3 linked regions of the Coturnix japonica genome follow. The protein of the gene in region 3 binds, or shares a complex with, the protein of the main gene of each other region. Links are inferred from orthologs where the notes say so. Each region holds a gene or a part of one and is shown on either strand. Other genes may lie near its edges.

Region 1 (4,090 bases), on a different chromosome or scaffold from region 3:
TGCAAAGGTTTCCTGCAAGAAACAGTTGGAGTGTCTGGCACAGCTCTACTCATCATGTATAGCAGGTGACAACTGAGATGTGAGATTGACCCTTCTGTGAGCTCTGAGCTTATATATGCAGTGTGAGGAGAAGGCAGATAACAAGTAGAAGTTCTGGCGTAGTTGCTGCGTATAGATAACTCCTAAAAGAATAAGCAATGCCATCTCAGTTATTAAAATGAACAGTTTTTACATAAAAATATAGGGAAGTAGATGAACGTGTTGCAGTACTTTGACCTGTAGGAGGCTGCAGTTGCATGGTCCTATCTGGTGAGGTAAATTTGAACAACAAAACCCTTCCCTCACACGTATTTGCATGTTGATATATGCTGTGGCTGTGTGTGGGGAGTGAGTTCTTTACAGACTTTGTAGAACAGTTGTCTGTCTTTTTGCCTTCAATCATTAAAACAGGTTAAATCACAATATTCATCTCTCATATCACATTTTTTCTCTTGCAGAAAACCTGGTACCAAATATTTTCCTGGAGCTTTTTTTTGTTCTGCAACTGTTAACATCTAAAGGAACTTCTGCTTCAGAGGAAGAAGAGAGTGACCTTGAAGTCAATGAAGGAAGTAAAGGTAAGCAGTAGAATTGAGTGGAAAGGGTGTCCTTCCATGAATGATGATAATGTGATGTAGATAAGTTGCCTGTAGCCTAAAGGTTAGTATTCAATACCTTAAAAGCACAGTGGGACTCATCTGAGATGCTGACAAAAGCCATGTGTGTATGGGAAGTATTTCTTTAGCATGATAGATCAGGGTTTCTAGATTGTGTTTGAATCTACTTTTCTACTGTTGTGTGTGAGTACCTACGACATCTTGCTAAAACAAACTTGCAGAGAGAAGAGCAGATATGTTATGTCTCTTCTCCGTTGGTTCTTACAGATCAAAAGTGTTGTTGTCTTGCTGTGTGTTTCTTAAAAGTTGGGTCTCAGGTGTGGGCACATAGGGCCTGCTAATATAGGTAAATAATTGTTACATTTGACTTTTTGGCAAAGTTGTACTTACTCTTGATACAGTCAGTAGTTTGATATAGGTATGAAAAGCAGAGAGTGGCTTTAAGATGAGACTTCCCTTCAGAAAACTATTTGTTTAACTTTAGTTTTGCTTCTTAGGACTGAGCTTAGGAACATAAGGTGATCAGCAGCAGCAGCTGATTGGTGCTTGCAGTTGGTCTGCTTGCTGTTTGGCTCTGCTTACTGTTGGCCAAAAAGCTGAGAAGGAATCTTTTCTGTCCCATAGAGTGTTAAACAATTTAGTAGCCGTTAGTATCAGAGAGATGGGGATTTTTCTTGTGCCAGGGGATAGGAACTTCTGGATACTGGTCTGGAAGATCATTTTATTCTTTGGATATGGCAGTTCCTTCTTTCCTCCAGACCGTATTATCGATTGCTTAGCTTATAAATTGTGTTAGGTGCTGTTGTCAGATGTTTCTTTTTTTCCCATTAGATGCATCAGGGAGACAGCACTTCCGAAGCGTGCACAATTGCGTTTACTTCGCTGTTCAAGTCTTGGATTATCAATATGAGTGAGTTGAGGTGCTTTTTTTTTTTTTTTATTTCCTCAGCTTGTTTGTGTGATGAAGCAAGTGTGCTTAGATCTTAGAGCTTTACTAATTCCAGGCATGGAGATATTAACTTTCCCTCAAAATACACTTAAATTTGGCTTAAATTTGAATGGCTGTGAATTTTCTCTGTGCTGGTCTTCAGTGTGATTTTGTAAGAAATGGGAAGGTCATGAGAAGAATGCAATAAGAAAAAATGCCCCTGCAGATGTCAGTGAGATTTGATCCTGGGTGACTGGGTCTTATAACTCTTTACTTGGTGGCTTCTTAAGAATGACATAAACGTTTCTTTGGGTCTGATCATGCTGTCATTTGTGTCTGTGGGTTTTATGGATGTTGTCTTGGCAGAATTATTTCCCATTTAGAAAAGGGGACTCTGAAGTTCTTGGCTGAAAATGAACGGATTGCATGTTTTTCTCCCACCCTGCACGAGAGACTCAAGCAGGCATATGAAAACAGCACAGCCAAGGTAAATATTGGCAGACCTCAACTGAATGCTGTCTTATACCTCTGTGGTGATGGCGTTTTATTTATGTTGGCCTTAATGTTAACTCTCATTCCTTCTTCTGTGAGTCTCTTTGTCATGTCTTCTTTGGGAACTGTTTGAAAGTTGTTTTTTAATTGTTGGGTTTTTGTTTTTTCTCATTGAGTGAATGAATTGCATAATGCCATGACTGTTAGTTGTGAATTGCTACTGGTTGCCCCAGTGTTGTGGACCTTAGCTGGTGACTTCGACAGAGCCAAGTTTTGCTTTTGATGTTTGTGTCTAATCAACATGAATCCCAGAAAAATGGCCGTCTGGTTGCTGAATTGTAGTGTAGGTGGGGAGAAGTGAATTTGTTTCATTGCTACGGACTTCTTTGAGGCAAACAAAGCTTGCAGTCTGGAAAAATGAGTTTCCTGATCAGATCATCTAAGTCAGGGAACTGAAGCTTGATGATAGGAATGCATTTATTTTCTCTTTAGTTTCATGCATCCCATTGCATTTGCCAAGGAAAGTACAGTGTGCTTCCTGAGACTAAGGCACATTAATAACCGATCAGTTTTGCTAAAGTTAAAGACGAGGCTTTTTTGTTACTTGAAGGCATGTACTGTCTGAATAGAAGAATACAGAAATTGCCAGGTTCTGTCCTCCTGCAATCTCAGAAGCCCTGTGTTGAAGATATGCTTTGGCTGTCTGCAGATCATTCTTTCCATTAGTGTGAATACTAATTGCAATTTGTTGATTGCAATTAAAAAAAGTAAGTTTTTTTCCCAGAGATAAGAAGCTTGCATTCATAACGAGTGACTCTTGTCTCTGTGGTGTAATGTAGGCTTTGCAGCCATTGGTGTTTACTGGCAGTTAGCAACTGGGAAATGACTAGAGTCTGAACAACTCAATTAGTGACACCTGCTTTCACCGTCACCTCTCTCCACTGCTTATTCTGGGTTTCAGATTGTTGGATAAATTACACTTGCATTTGCCTAATTGTTGATTTATGTTTTCAACAGGTTTCTCTGCTGCTGCCATGCTCTGTGCAGTCTGTTTCTTTCCAGCCAGAAACCGACAATCGCTCTAACTTTCCCAGCGACAGAGCATTTCACATATTTAAGAAACAAAGGTAAGATTGTTTTACTGTTAGTATATGGCTCACAAGATATTATCTGATCATGGCTGTGAACAAAAGATATCAAGAATGTCCCATTTATGCTACGTACTGTAGATTTTCACTCTAATTAAGAAAAGTCTTTGTCCGTGCTGACTGCAGGAGCTAAGTGTGTAATGACTTTAGAGAAGAATAGCCTAATTCTTCAGGAGTTTTTGAGGATTCTGGTAAATGCCAGTGCAGTGTGGCACCTTACATAGGTTGCTTCTGCATACATATCTGGTATGCTTTGTATTCTTCCTGCTGCCTTCCACGCTTGCAGCAACTGAGTGAGGAGAGAATGGCAAGTTGTCTTGGTCATTTTTTTCTCCTCATAGGTGTTATTTTGTGTAGCCTGTTTCTCAGTCTTCAGTATGTCTGGTAAATGGGTGGTTTGGTCATTCTGTCTGAGCTTAGGCATAACAAGCTTAAGTGCTTGCTGTTCAGAGGCATGGAAGATGGAAACTTTAGAGTTTTGCGGAAGTATCAGAATGTGGAGATGCTTGAATTACTTAATCTGAGTTAGAGACTCACTGGGTAGTTTAGAAGCAATTGAATGCTTGGGTGTTGCTACTTCAAATTTTGAAGAGAAGGAATTCACATCCTTAAATGTCTTTGTTCACAGGGATATCTTTTATGAACTGCTGCGTGAATGGGAGGATAACCATGAAAAACCCGGTTGGGACTTTGAAAGAGTTCTGGGCAGCAAGATCAGGTAGGAGTCTTCTGTAACTCAATCTAGAACATCAGTTTAGCTTTAGTGTAGCTATGTTACTGGTGCAACATACCAGATTCAGCATCCTAATTTCTATGTTCTTTCTAATGGTCTGAGCTGTAAGGGGCTGTGCTTCTTGGCAGGTAGT
Region 2 (4,791 bases), on a different chromosome or scaffold from region 3:
GATTCCCAAAGACAAAGCTGTCTGTCAGCGGAGTGCAAGCTGCCTTAAGATGGAGCAACTCCTGAGAACCTGGAACCCCAAATCTTCCATATAACAGTGCAACTGCTCATAGAGATCCCATTTTCATTCCTCTCCAACATACTTCAGGCATATCAGCAGTCAAAACTATGGATACAAACACATTCTGCTTGCAAAGCAAAATTAGCAAGGGAGGGAAGGGGGAAAAAAAGAATGTATTGCAGGATGTCGTGCCTTTCACTGGAGGGATCTGCACTCACCTTAGCAACACCAACGCCGGTGAACCTGGCCTCCAGTAGTTCCTGCCTTCGTGGGTCCAGGCTATGCAATTCTTCCATCATTTCTGCTGCTGTAGGAGAATAACATTCAGATTATGCAATGCAAGGAAAGGAAAGATTGAAGATTCTGTGCCACTGACATGACTCAAAAGTGCCTGTTTTGAAGCGTAACCACGTAGAGAGCATTTTCTTGCAAGAGAAATACGAGATTACCATGCAATAACTACATGATTTTGTCACCGTATTACTGTATGTAAACCACAACCCTGATGGAGAGGTTCATCTGTCTGTAGCACCAGCCATTTCAAGATCTCTTAATCCAAGAAACCAATTATGTCACATTCTCCCACTGGATGCTTTATTAAAAGGAAAACACAGGACCAGAGCGTTATGACTAAAGGCTTCACAGCTTCCCATCCATATTGCATGACTAGGAGGAAAAAAAAAGCACAAAGATCCTCATCCCTGAATTTATTTTTGGCCAACCCCTAAAATATAAGGTCTCCCAAAACTCACTGACAACAGCTCTGGTTCTTCTAAGCACGGAAAGGGATTGTCAGGGGGAAAATAATGTGTGTTTACATCCATTATAAAGTATCGGATACCCCCAGCTGCATCTACACACTGCATGTAAGCTGGGGTACCGAGATGCAATGGATGCCATCACTTGAAGGGTTCAGAAACAGCCAACCAAACAAGCACGGCTGTGTAAAGAGGTGGGGGAAAAAAAAAAAAGCATAAAACATAAAATGTGGATATTGAACTATGAAAGAAAAATGGGACGAATTTCAATGTTCATTTTAACTGCGAATCGCATCTTCCCAAATGCACCAATCGAGTCCGTCATTTCCAGAAATGTCTGTTCCAGTTTCATTACCCAGACGAAGGTAAGGGGAAAAAAAAAAAAGACACAAGATAAGGATTTGCTGTATAAAGAGTGTATGTGAGGAGGAAAGTTCCTGAAGGGCAGCAAGTGCCCTCTAGATCAGGCAGCTTACAGTTGTTCCTTTTATTAACTGTCCATTTTGTCTCTGCTGTTTCCTCCAAATGCTGCAGCTCTAAGTTACAGAGAGCTCAGTGAATCGATCCAGGGGCATTCACAAGCGCTCTCCCCATCCAGCAGCAAACCTCAACAACCAAACGCGGTCACGGCAGAACCCCATTTCTACTATTTGCTCCAACAAAGCTACCAACCTAGTTTTCAAAACAGGAAATCTGTGCACCGAGGAAAATGACAGGCGAGCCCTTAAGGCGAAGGTGTTAAAGACCTCGGAGCTCTGACCCCCCTTTATGGGGAGGGGATGCCGGGCTGGGGAAGGGGTATCCCCTGCTGGGAAGAGGCCACACCAAACTGCCCCCTCCCCGGAGCCCCTGTGCCCATTGGGGCCTGGGGAATGACCCAACCATCCACCCATCCATCCCTGCCGGCAGCAGGCTGCATTCCCTCCCTGCCCTCCTCCCGACGGCTTCGAGGGGCGACTCGCTGTTGGGCGAGCAGCGGGTGAAGAGCAGCGGGTGAGGAGCAGCCTGCCCCGCCGCCAGCCGCTGCACCGCCTGGGCCTGCCTCCTCCTCCCGTCACTGCCTCACTGCCAGGCCGGGGATCCAAAGGCCGTACCCACCCCTTCACCTCCTCACCGCGTCCCCCGCGCTCCCCCGGGGTTGAGGCCGGGCCGTCTCCGATCTTAACCCCCCACCATCGGAGCCCTCAAGGCCTCGCGTTGCTCCGAGCACCCGCGGCCCAGGCCTCGCTCCGCCGCCTCGGGGCACGCACAGGCCGCGGCCCTTCCGCCTGACCCCGGCCCGGCCAACAGCGGGCAGCGCTCCATCGCCACCCCGCCCGGCCGCCCCCGGGGGTCGCAACCCACCGCCCCCACGGCCCGGGGAAGGGAAGGGAAGAGTGAGGGGGGATCCCCGCCGCCCCCCCCGGGCTCTCTCTCACCTGGCGCTGCTGCTCGTGCCGCCGCCCGGGCCCGACGTTCCCCGGGCACCGCTCGGATCCCGCCGCCGCCGCCGGGGGCAGGAGGAGGAGGAGGAGGAGGAGGAGGAGGGAGGGAGGGAACCTGCTGCGGCGGCGGCGGCAGCGGCTGCACGGGCGGGAGGGGGAGGCCAGGGGCGGCTCCGCGGCCTCTCGTGAGCAGCCGCTGCGGGTGCCCGGAGGAGAAGAGGGTGGAGGGGAAGGGAGAGACGGCGGCACAGGGTGTGGGGGGGGGATGAGGGGGATGGAAAGTAGGGGCGGAAGATGGGGATGAGCCCCTGGGTGCGCTGCGGGGATGGAGCGGGGATGGAGCAGGCCGCGAATCCCCGGCCTCGCGTAGAAGCCTCGCCCGAGCGCGGCACGCCGAGGCCGGCGGAGGTGGCGAGGCCTCGCGGCAGGACAAAGGCCCGAGGGAGGGCTCGGAGGGTGCGGCACCCGGGCAGGTGGGGGGTAAAGGGGAAGGTAAAGGGGGTGGGGGGGGGTTATGGGGGGGTGGCGGCGGAGACCCTTCGCTCGGCAGGTGCGGGGCCGGTGCTCCCCCTCCCACCCCTCCCCCTCCCACGGCGGTTCGGCCCGACCCGGCCCGGATCGGATCGATTGGTGCACACACACTGGTGAAAGCGCGCGGAGGTCTTCGCGAGATTTGCACGAGGCGGAGGGGGGGGGTGGGGGTGGGGGGGGCAGGTCAGCACGGGAGGGGGGAGGGGGGCAGGTCAGCGGGGAGGGGCTTCGAGTGGGATGGGGGAGGGCTTAAAGGGAGGGAGGGGCCATTGCCCGGCCATGGGGTGGGGAGGCAGCAGGTACGGAGGGGTGGGGGGAAGGGAGGGGACCTATGAGGGTCAGGGTCGGCTGTGGGGTCAGCAGACACAAGGGGAAGGTGGGTAGGGCTGGGGGGGTCAGGAGAGCCCTGAGGGTGTTTGTCCCCCCCCCCTTTAAGGGGTGACCTGATATCCCCCACCCCAAAAGGGGGGGTCCCTTGTGTGGATTGGGTGGGTCTGTGAGGGGATGTCCATACAACCCATTCCATCATCCCATCCAGCATTAACCCAGCTCCATCCCCCTGGCTGGGGGCACATGCCAGTTGCCCACCCCCCATCATCACCCCCGTATCCCCCCATGATGACGGCTTAATCCTAAATGAATCCCCCCCCCCACATACACACAAACACACACACACCACGATCCAGGCTGCCCCTCGCATCCCTTCGGAGCCATCACACACAGCCCTGCGGGCTCTGCGCTCACTGCTGCCTTTCTAAGGCCAAGATTGAAGAAGGAAAAAACCTAAAGGGGGGGTTGGGGGGTGGGTTGAGGTGGGAGGAGAAGAGAATCAAGATGTTAAAGGCTTTTCCATTGGCGGCGTGGCGGTGCGGTCGCCCCTTCGGCCGCCGGTGCAACCTGCTCGCCTCCAAGGTTGAATGAGCTTTCTGCAAAGCAAACGAGGAAGGGGGGGAGGATTGATTAACAACAACAAAAAGCAAGCATTAAAAAAGAAGGAGGTGAAGGGGGGGGGGGGGAGGAGGAAAGCAAAGCAGCACGTCGGGAAGTGGCCAGGCCTGTCCGAAGGGAGGCAGGCGTGGATTAGAGATGGGATTTGCTCTGGGTTGGATAGTGAGAGCTGGGTGTCACCACCCCAAAACCACGCAGCTAAAGCAGAGCCCATCCAACAGCAAAGGGGGGGGGGTGAAGGGGAGCGGCTGAGCTTCAGCCCTGCGGGGTTGGCCCCCCCCCAACCTCCTCCTACAACACGATGCTGATGGTGGGGAAGGGGGAGGATCTGTTATTTAGCACTCGTTTATCGTGCTCCGAGCCCGGCGTTATTCGTTAACTTCGCGTTGCAAATGGCTTTTCCGAGGCTCATCTCACGAGCTGTGTTTCCTGTACTTTAATCTGCTATTTTTGTTGTTGTTGTTTTTAAGGTAGAGGATCCACTCCGGTTTCAGCTCCTTGCTGCGTGATTCACGTTTATCAGCACGGCCGGCAGCAGGAATTTGTTAAAGAAATAAACGACCTGCTATATTTCGCTTTGCTTTTCTCTCCCCCCTTTCCCCCCCCCCCAAATAAAAGGAGGCATTCTAAATATCCCATCGGTTGCTAAACCAATCACAGCCATTTAGTGGAGCGCTAATTAGTACCATTTGCAGCAAACGTGGTTCTGAAAGGATGTATACATTTCAATTGTGTGTTTCTGTTTGATTTTGGGTGGAGGGAGGAGATGCTCGGGGGGCTGTCAGACCCAGGAAGGGATCCCAGCAGCCAGGGCTGCATCTATGGGATGAGCTTTGAATTGGGGCAGCTTGTGATCTCAGAGCACTGAACCAGATGCTGTGCTGTTGAATCCACTGCTCTGTGCCCCATCTTTGTGTTCGGGAGGAGATGGGGGTCACTTTGGTGGGTCAGAGCCATGGGTGGTTAATTCAGCAATAAGCTGAGGTTACACCATCCTTTTATGCCTTACCAAAAGGGTTGGGGGTTTGCATTGTGGAGCCCCATCTCTGCTGCAAACCTGCATGCTGTCC
Region 3 (4,583 bases):
GCAGATTCTGCTAAGCATTCCAAATTTAGTAATTACTTATTAACAAGGGTGAGAAAATCAAATCTACTATATTAAAATGAAAACTGGTGTGACTACAAAGCCCACAAATGTATAGAATGGATGCATTCACCAACCACTAAAATAGACAAATATTGCAGAGCTGAAAAATAAAGCTTAGAAGAAAAAAAAATAATAATCCAAAATGAAATGAACCAAATAAGTTCCCAGCAGGCACTTGTGAATCTACATGTGATGCAACACTGGGAGCACGGAAGGTCAGAAATGTTTCTAAGCTGTGATAATGGCTGCTCACTATCAAGTATGTGCAGCTCTTTCCCATTTCCTCGTCCCTACTCCCCAGCCTTTTCTCTATCTTTAGCCCTTCTTTTTCACTCCAAAGCGCTCTGCTCAAAATATCCTGGTAGATGACAAGCTGCTGCCAGCCTGAAACCTCCTGGAATGTTACAACGAAACTTGCCCAAGGATCTTCCCATGGCACATCTCTGTGCAGATCAGTCAGAAATTATTGGCAATTTATGTTTCTTGATAGTAATAGTAGCTTGTTGTGAGGAGTCTCTTCTACTGTGCCCAATCTGGCCTTTCATCTGACACGAGGAATGCTAAAAATGTACACTGAGCAACAGATGAGGCAACTATCAGACACTTCTTTGTCAACACAGAAGCATAATCACCTTTCCAAACCTGGCAGTGGCTTGGAGGACGGCTAAGGGCCTCACTGTAGACATGGCAGCACTCTGCTGCTTGCCTGCATGGCTCAGGCAAGATGTCTGCTCCGTACCTTCCTGCCGCACATTAAGTGTTCCCCGCAGGCACGATTACTGCATGACCACGTATTTATTTCCTCCGGGAATCGCCTCTCACGCTGACGAGAAACACCTCACACCCCCAGCCCGGGGCACGGCTCTCCCCAGCCCAGCGGCGGGCGGTGACATGACATATCCCCGCTGCCATTCCCGCACACGGCAGCCTAAAATGGCCTCCTCCAAGGGCCGCTTGTGTTCGGGGCGTGCGGCGCTGCCGGAGGCTTCACTACAGCACAGCCACGGGTTGACAGCTTTCTGGAGGCCGCTCACACAGCGGACCAGGGCTCGGTCGGGCAGTCCCCAGTCAGCACGTAACACCTGACACCTCCGGGTTCGCGAAAAGAATTAAAAAGAATGAAAACACGCCTTCCTCGGGCACTAACAACCGGCAAAACCCACAGCACATGGCGGAAACCCACGCGCGAGCAGGGGCGCGGCCTACGGCTCCCGGGGCCGCCCCTCGGCTCCGCGCTCGGCCCCGCCCGCTCGGCCCGGCCCCTCCCCGCTCTGCGCGGCCGTTGGCCGGCGGCTGCCGGGCGGTTTGGCGGCGGTGTCGGGCGCCGGCCGGGCGGGGGCGCCGAGCGGCGCGGAGGGGCCGGGCGGGCGGCGGCGGTGCCTGTCTTGCCGCCGCTCGGCGGTCGGCTCGGCTCGGGGAGGAGGGCCCTAGCCCAGCGCGCGGCCAATCCGGACGGGCGCTGGCGGAGAGCAGGGCAGAATGGGCCGTAGTTGAGTGAAATAGGAAAGCTGCGAACAGAGTGGAGTGCTCCCGGTGTAAATAAAAGGGGGGAAGAAAAGTTTCCCCAAGTCGCGGCTCCGCAGCCTCGCTCCGACGGGGGGCAGGGGGCTTCGTGCGAGGCGGAGATCACCGCTCGGGACTTTGCCGTGCGGCGTTCACCCGCTCCTCCTATTGTGATTTTTTTCAAAATATGGCAAAGGTTCAGGTGAACAATGTAGTGGTGTTGGACAACCCTTCTCCTTTCTACAACCCTTTCCAGTTCGAAATCACATTTGAGTGCATAGAGGACCTGTCGGAAGGTGAGTACCGCTCTCCGGACGCGGGTTCGGCGGTGCCCGGGCTGTCGGATGCGGGGCCGGGCGGGCTCCCTTCGGGCCGGGCCTGCTCCCGCCGCCGCACGGTTCTCCTCCCCGCAGAGCCGTGCGGCCACGCGGGGGATGCGGAGCTACGGCGGGGCCGCCCGGCCCCGGCCCGGGCAGGGAAAGTTAGCGGCGGAGCCCTCGCTCCGGGGCCGCCGCTCCGCTTCGCTCCCCGCCGCGCCGTCGCCGAGGCCGCCTTCAAGTTGCGAGGAACTTGTTAGAGTGGTGGTAGCCATGTTGCCAGCTTTGTGTGTGCGTGGGGGGGCAGAGCGGGAGCGGGCGGGCGGGCAGGGCGCCGCGCGGCCCCGCGACGCGGGAGCGGAACTGTTGCGCGGCCGTAGCGCTGCCAACGGGAGGTACCCGCAGCGCGGGCAGCGTTTGGAGCGTGCGGTGCGGGGCCTCACGGTCCATTTTAATACTTAAAAGGAGGGAAGGAAAAAAAAAAAAAAAGAAAAGGAAAAAAACAGAGCTGGAGGCCGGGCGGACGAGCGGGCGGCTCTCGGTGGGCGCAGTGCTCGGAGCCCGGTGGGTGGCGGTCCGGAGGCGCGGAGCCGTGCCGGGAGGAGGGGGAGGCGGTAGCCACTATTTTTGGAAGTCACTCGAAAGTTACCGGCTGCCGCCGGGGGAGGCGGCTCGGCGCCGCCCTGCACGCCGCCCCGCGGGGACCCCGGGACGGGAGACGCGGCTGAGGGACCCTTCTCGGCCGGGCTCGAGTCCTCCCGTCCGCACGGCGGGCCGCGAGCAGCCCCCGGCCCGCTGTGGGCCGGCTCGCTCGGCACGATGTGTCCGTGCCGCCGGCAGGCCGCGCCGCGCCTCTCCGCGGGAGGCGCCCCGAGAGTCCGCGCGGGAACAACCGGGCGGGAGATTCGAACGCGGCGGCGCACGGCGAAGGAAGCGGCGGGATGAGCGGCACCGAGAGACAGGAAAAGGCCGCTCCGATGGAGCAGCCACAGGACAGGTGCCGCTATGGGGCACAGTGCCGCCTGCTCGCCGGGGAACCAGGGCAGACAGCGGGAGGCAGGGAAAGAAACTCGTGGCAGTAGAGAATGGGGACGTTTCTATTGCTGCTGTGGTTCAGTTTGCCTCCCTCAACACTCGGCGCGGGTTTCTGTCCCTGTGTGGCGGGTTGGCGGTGCTGTCAGGAACTTTGTCAAAGTCCTGTCTGCGTTTGAGGTTCCCCCCACGCCTCTGCCCCCTTCCTAAAACTGATCAGCGTCTCAGTTTGAGCAGCCCGCGCCATTAAGCTCCGTGCACATCCCGATGCTGATGGCTGCTCCTCCCTGACTCAGGCAGTCAGGGCTCACTCAGGACAGCAGCACCTGAATCCTCACACAGCAGTGCCTGCAGCAGCACAGGCACTAGGCATCACCTTGCCTTTCCTTTGGTTTGTGACCACTCCTAACTGTGTGTTTAACAGTGCGATTAATCTGGACAGTCAGGATGAGAACTGGAGGTGGCCCAGTTCAAAATTCTCAGTTCCCTTCCCCCATCTGACAAAGGTTAGGCTACAGGATATGTTTAGGGTAAGCATTGCTATCTTTCACGTTTAAAAATGAGGTTAAACAGCTTCTTGAAGAGAATGAATTGCTGTCATTTCCTTAGCGTTTGTGTGCTAATGTCTGCTCTGCTGTTTACAGCCAGTCCTGTGCACCACTGGTCTTAAAAGTAAATTAATTGAGTTCACTTCCCCCGTCTTTAAATTATTCCAAGTCATCATGTATCAGCAGTATCAGATCAACCTTTTAAAGGTATAAGTTATCTTCAAAGGCTTGTTTTTCAGTACCAAGTATTACTGCTTTAGAATGAGTTTGTTTTCCTGGAATAACTGCAAGTGATGGTATGATAACCTTAAGCGATCTAGCCTCTTATGTCCCCACTCCTTGAACACAGCAGATTACATAGGCTCCAACAGAAGGTCACCAGCTGACCCAATGAGTGCTTAGTACCCCAGCAGCCAACACCAGGTGCTTATGGGGTAAACAGAATCTCTGATGCAGAACCTGGCCCGTTGTGCCGTGCTGTATGAGGGGTTACGGTTTCATTAATGAGGAAAAAAATCAGTTGCAAGCCTAAATGCTGGAGACATTCCTACAGACTGAACAAATTCTCATTACAGCTCCCAGCAAGTAAATGGGCCCTACCTGCTGTAGGAGAATCGCAGCTTAACCAGTCTATGAAAATAGAGGGGCTTCTGCAGACTGGAGAAAGGTGGTGGGATGGCCTAGTTTATGAGGACTGGAGAAAGCATCAGCTTCCCTGATAAAGACAAGTTCCCTGATCCTTTATGCCAGTTGCCAAACTAGCAATTTTAAGCTAAGCAAAATCATAAACAGTCAAGAGCGGAAGACCCTTAACTATAATGATAAATAATGTTTGTTATCTAACTTTTGTTCTGCAGATTTGGAATGGAAGATAATTTATGTGGGTTCAGCTGAAAGTGAAGAGTATGACCAAGTGCTCGACTCTGTTTTAGTAGGACCTGTTCCTGCAGGCAGACACATGTTTGTATTTCAGGTAAGTGGGAATTAACTGTTTCTGAGAAAATAATTTTGATCACTGAAGATGACTACCACGCTAAGAAGCACCTGAAAATATTTGAGTCAGCTCTTTAGTTTTGATACACCTTTCTTTAAGGTTTATTTATTAGCTGATATTTTGCCCCTG

The links.
Region 1: the proteins of ASF1A (region 3) and CDAN1 are in contact, whole or in part, in a cryo-EM structure (PDB 9CVC), measured with the Homo sapiens proteins. The link is inferred for Coturnix japonica from reciprocal best matches to the Homo sapiens genes ASF1A and CDAN1. Residues at the interface, in NP_054753.1 of Homo sapiens: Gln5, Val6, Asn7, Asn8, Val9, Val10, Val11, Leu12, Asp13, Pro15, Asn20, Pro21, Phe28, Asp37, Val45, Ser47, Ala48, Glu49, Ser50, Glu51, Glu52, Asp54, Asp58, Ser59, Val60, Leu61, Val62, Gly63, Pro64, Val65; in NP_612486.2 of Homo sapiens: Arg195, Arg196, Ile197, Asn198, Thr200, Val202, Lys390, Leu391, His470, Glu471, Glu472, Pro473, Gly474, Trp475, Asp476, Lys538, Arg541, Arg544, Leu545, Gln546, Arg548, Leu549, Met550, Ala551, Pro552, Gln553, Ser554, Ser555, Arg806, Lys807.
Region 2: the proteins of ASF1A (region 3) and TLK2 are in contact, whole or in part, in a crystal structure (PDB 7LO0), measured with the Homo sapiens proteins. The link is inferred for Coturnix japonica from reciprocal best matches to the Homo sapiens genes ASF1A and TLK2. Residues at the interface, in NP_054753.1 of Homo sapiens: Val45, Ala48, Glu49, Glu51, Asp54, Asp88, Val92, Thr93, Val94, Leu96, Arg108, Gly110, Tyr111, Tyr112, Arg145, Thr147, Phe149; in NP_001271262.1 of Homo sapiens: Arg11, Arg12, Gln13, Leu15, Leu16, Glu17, Arg19, Phe20, Thr21, Gly22, Val23.

Annotation. Positions count from the first base shown.
Region 1 is NC_029520.1:23,195,715-23,199,804, reverse strand, and holds part of CDAN1 (codanin-1), read left to right. Parts: coding exon 1-65; intron 66-497; coding exon 498-617; intron 618-1,487; coding exon 1,488-1,566; intron 1,567-1,950; coding exon 1,951-2,071; intron 2,072-3,093; coding exon 3,094-3,203; intron 3,204-3,852; coding exon 3,853-3,942; intron 3,943-4,090. UniProt on the Homo sapiens protein: May act as a negative regulator of ASF1 in chromatin assembly.
Region 2 is NC_029542.1:1,855,941-1,860,731, reverse strand, and holds the start of TLK2 (serine/threonine-protein kinase tousled-like 2), read right to left. Parts: upstream 2,881-4,791; 5' UTR 2,237-2,880; intron 368-2,236; 5' UTR 360-367; coding exon 279-359; intron 1-278. UniProt on the Homo sapiens protein: Serine/threonine-protein kinase involved in the process of chromatin assembly and probably also DNA replication, transcription, repair, and chromosome segregation. Phosphorylates the chromatin assembly factors ASF1A and ASF1B.
Region 3 is NC_029518.1:57,106,432-57,111,014, reverse strand, and holds the start of ASF1A (histone chaperone ASF1A), read left to right. Parts: upstream 1-1,364; 5' UTR 1,365-1,750; coding exon 1,751-1,859; intron 1,860-4,317; coding exon 4,318-4,433; intron 4,434-4,583. UniProt on the Homo sapiens protein: Histone chaperone that facilitates histone deposition and histone exchange and removal during nucleosome assembly and disassembly.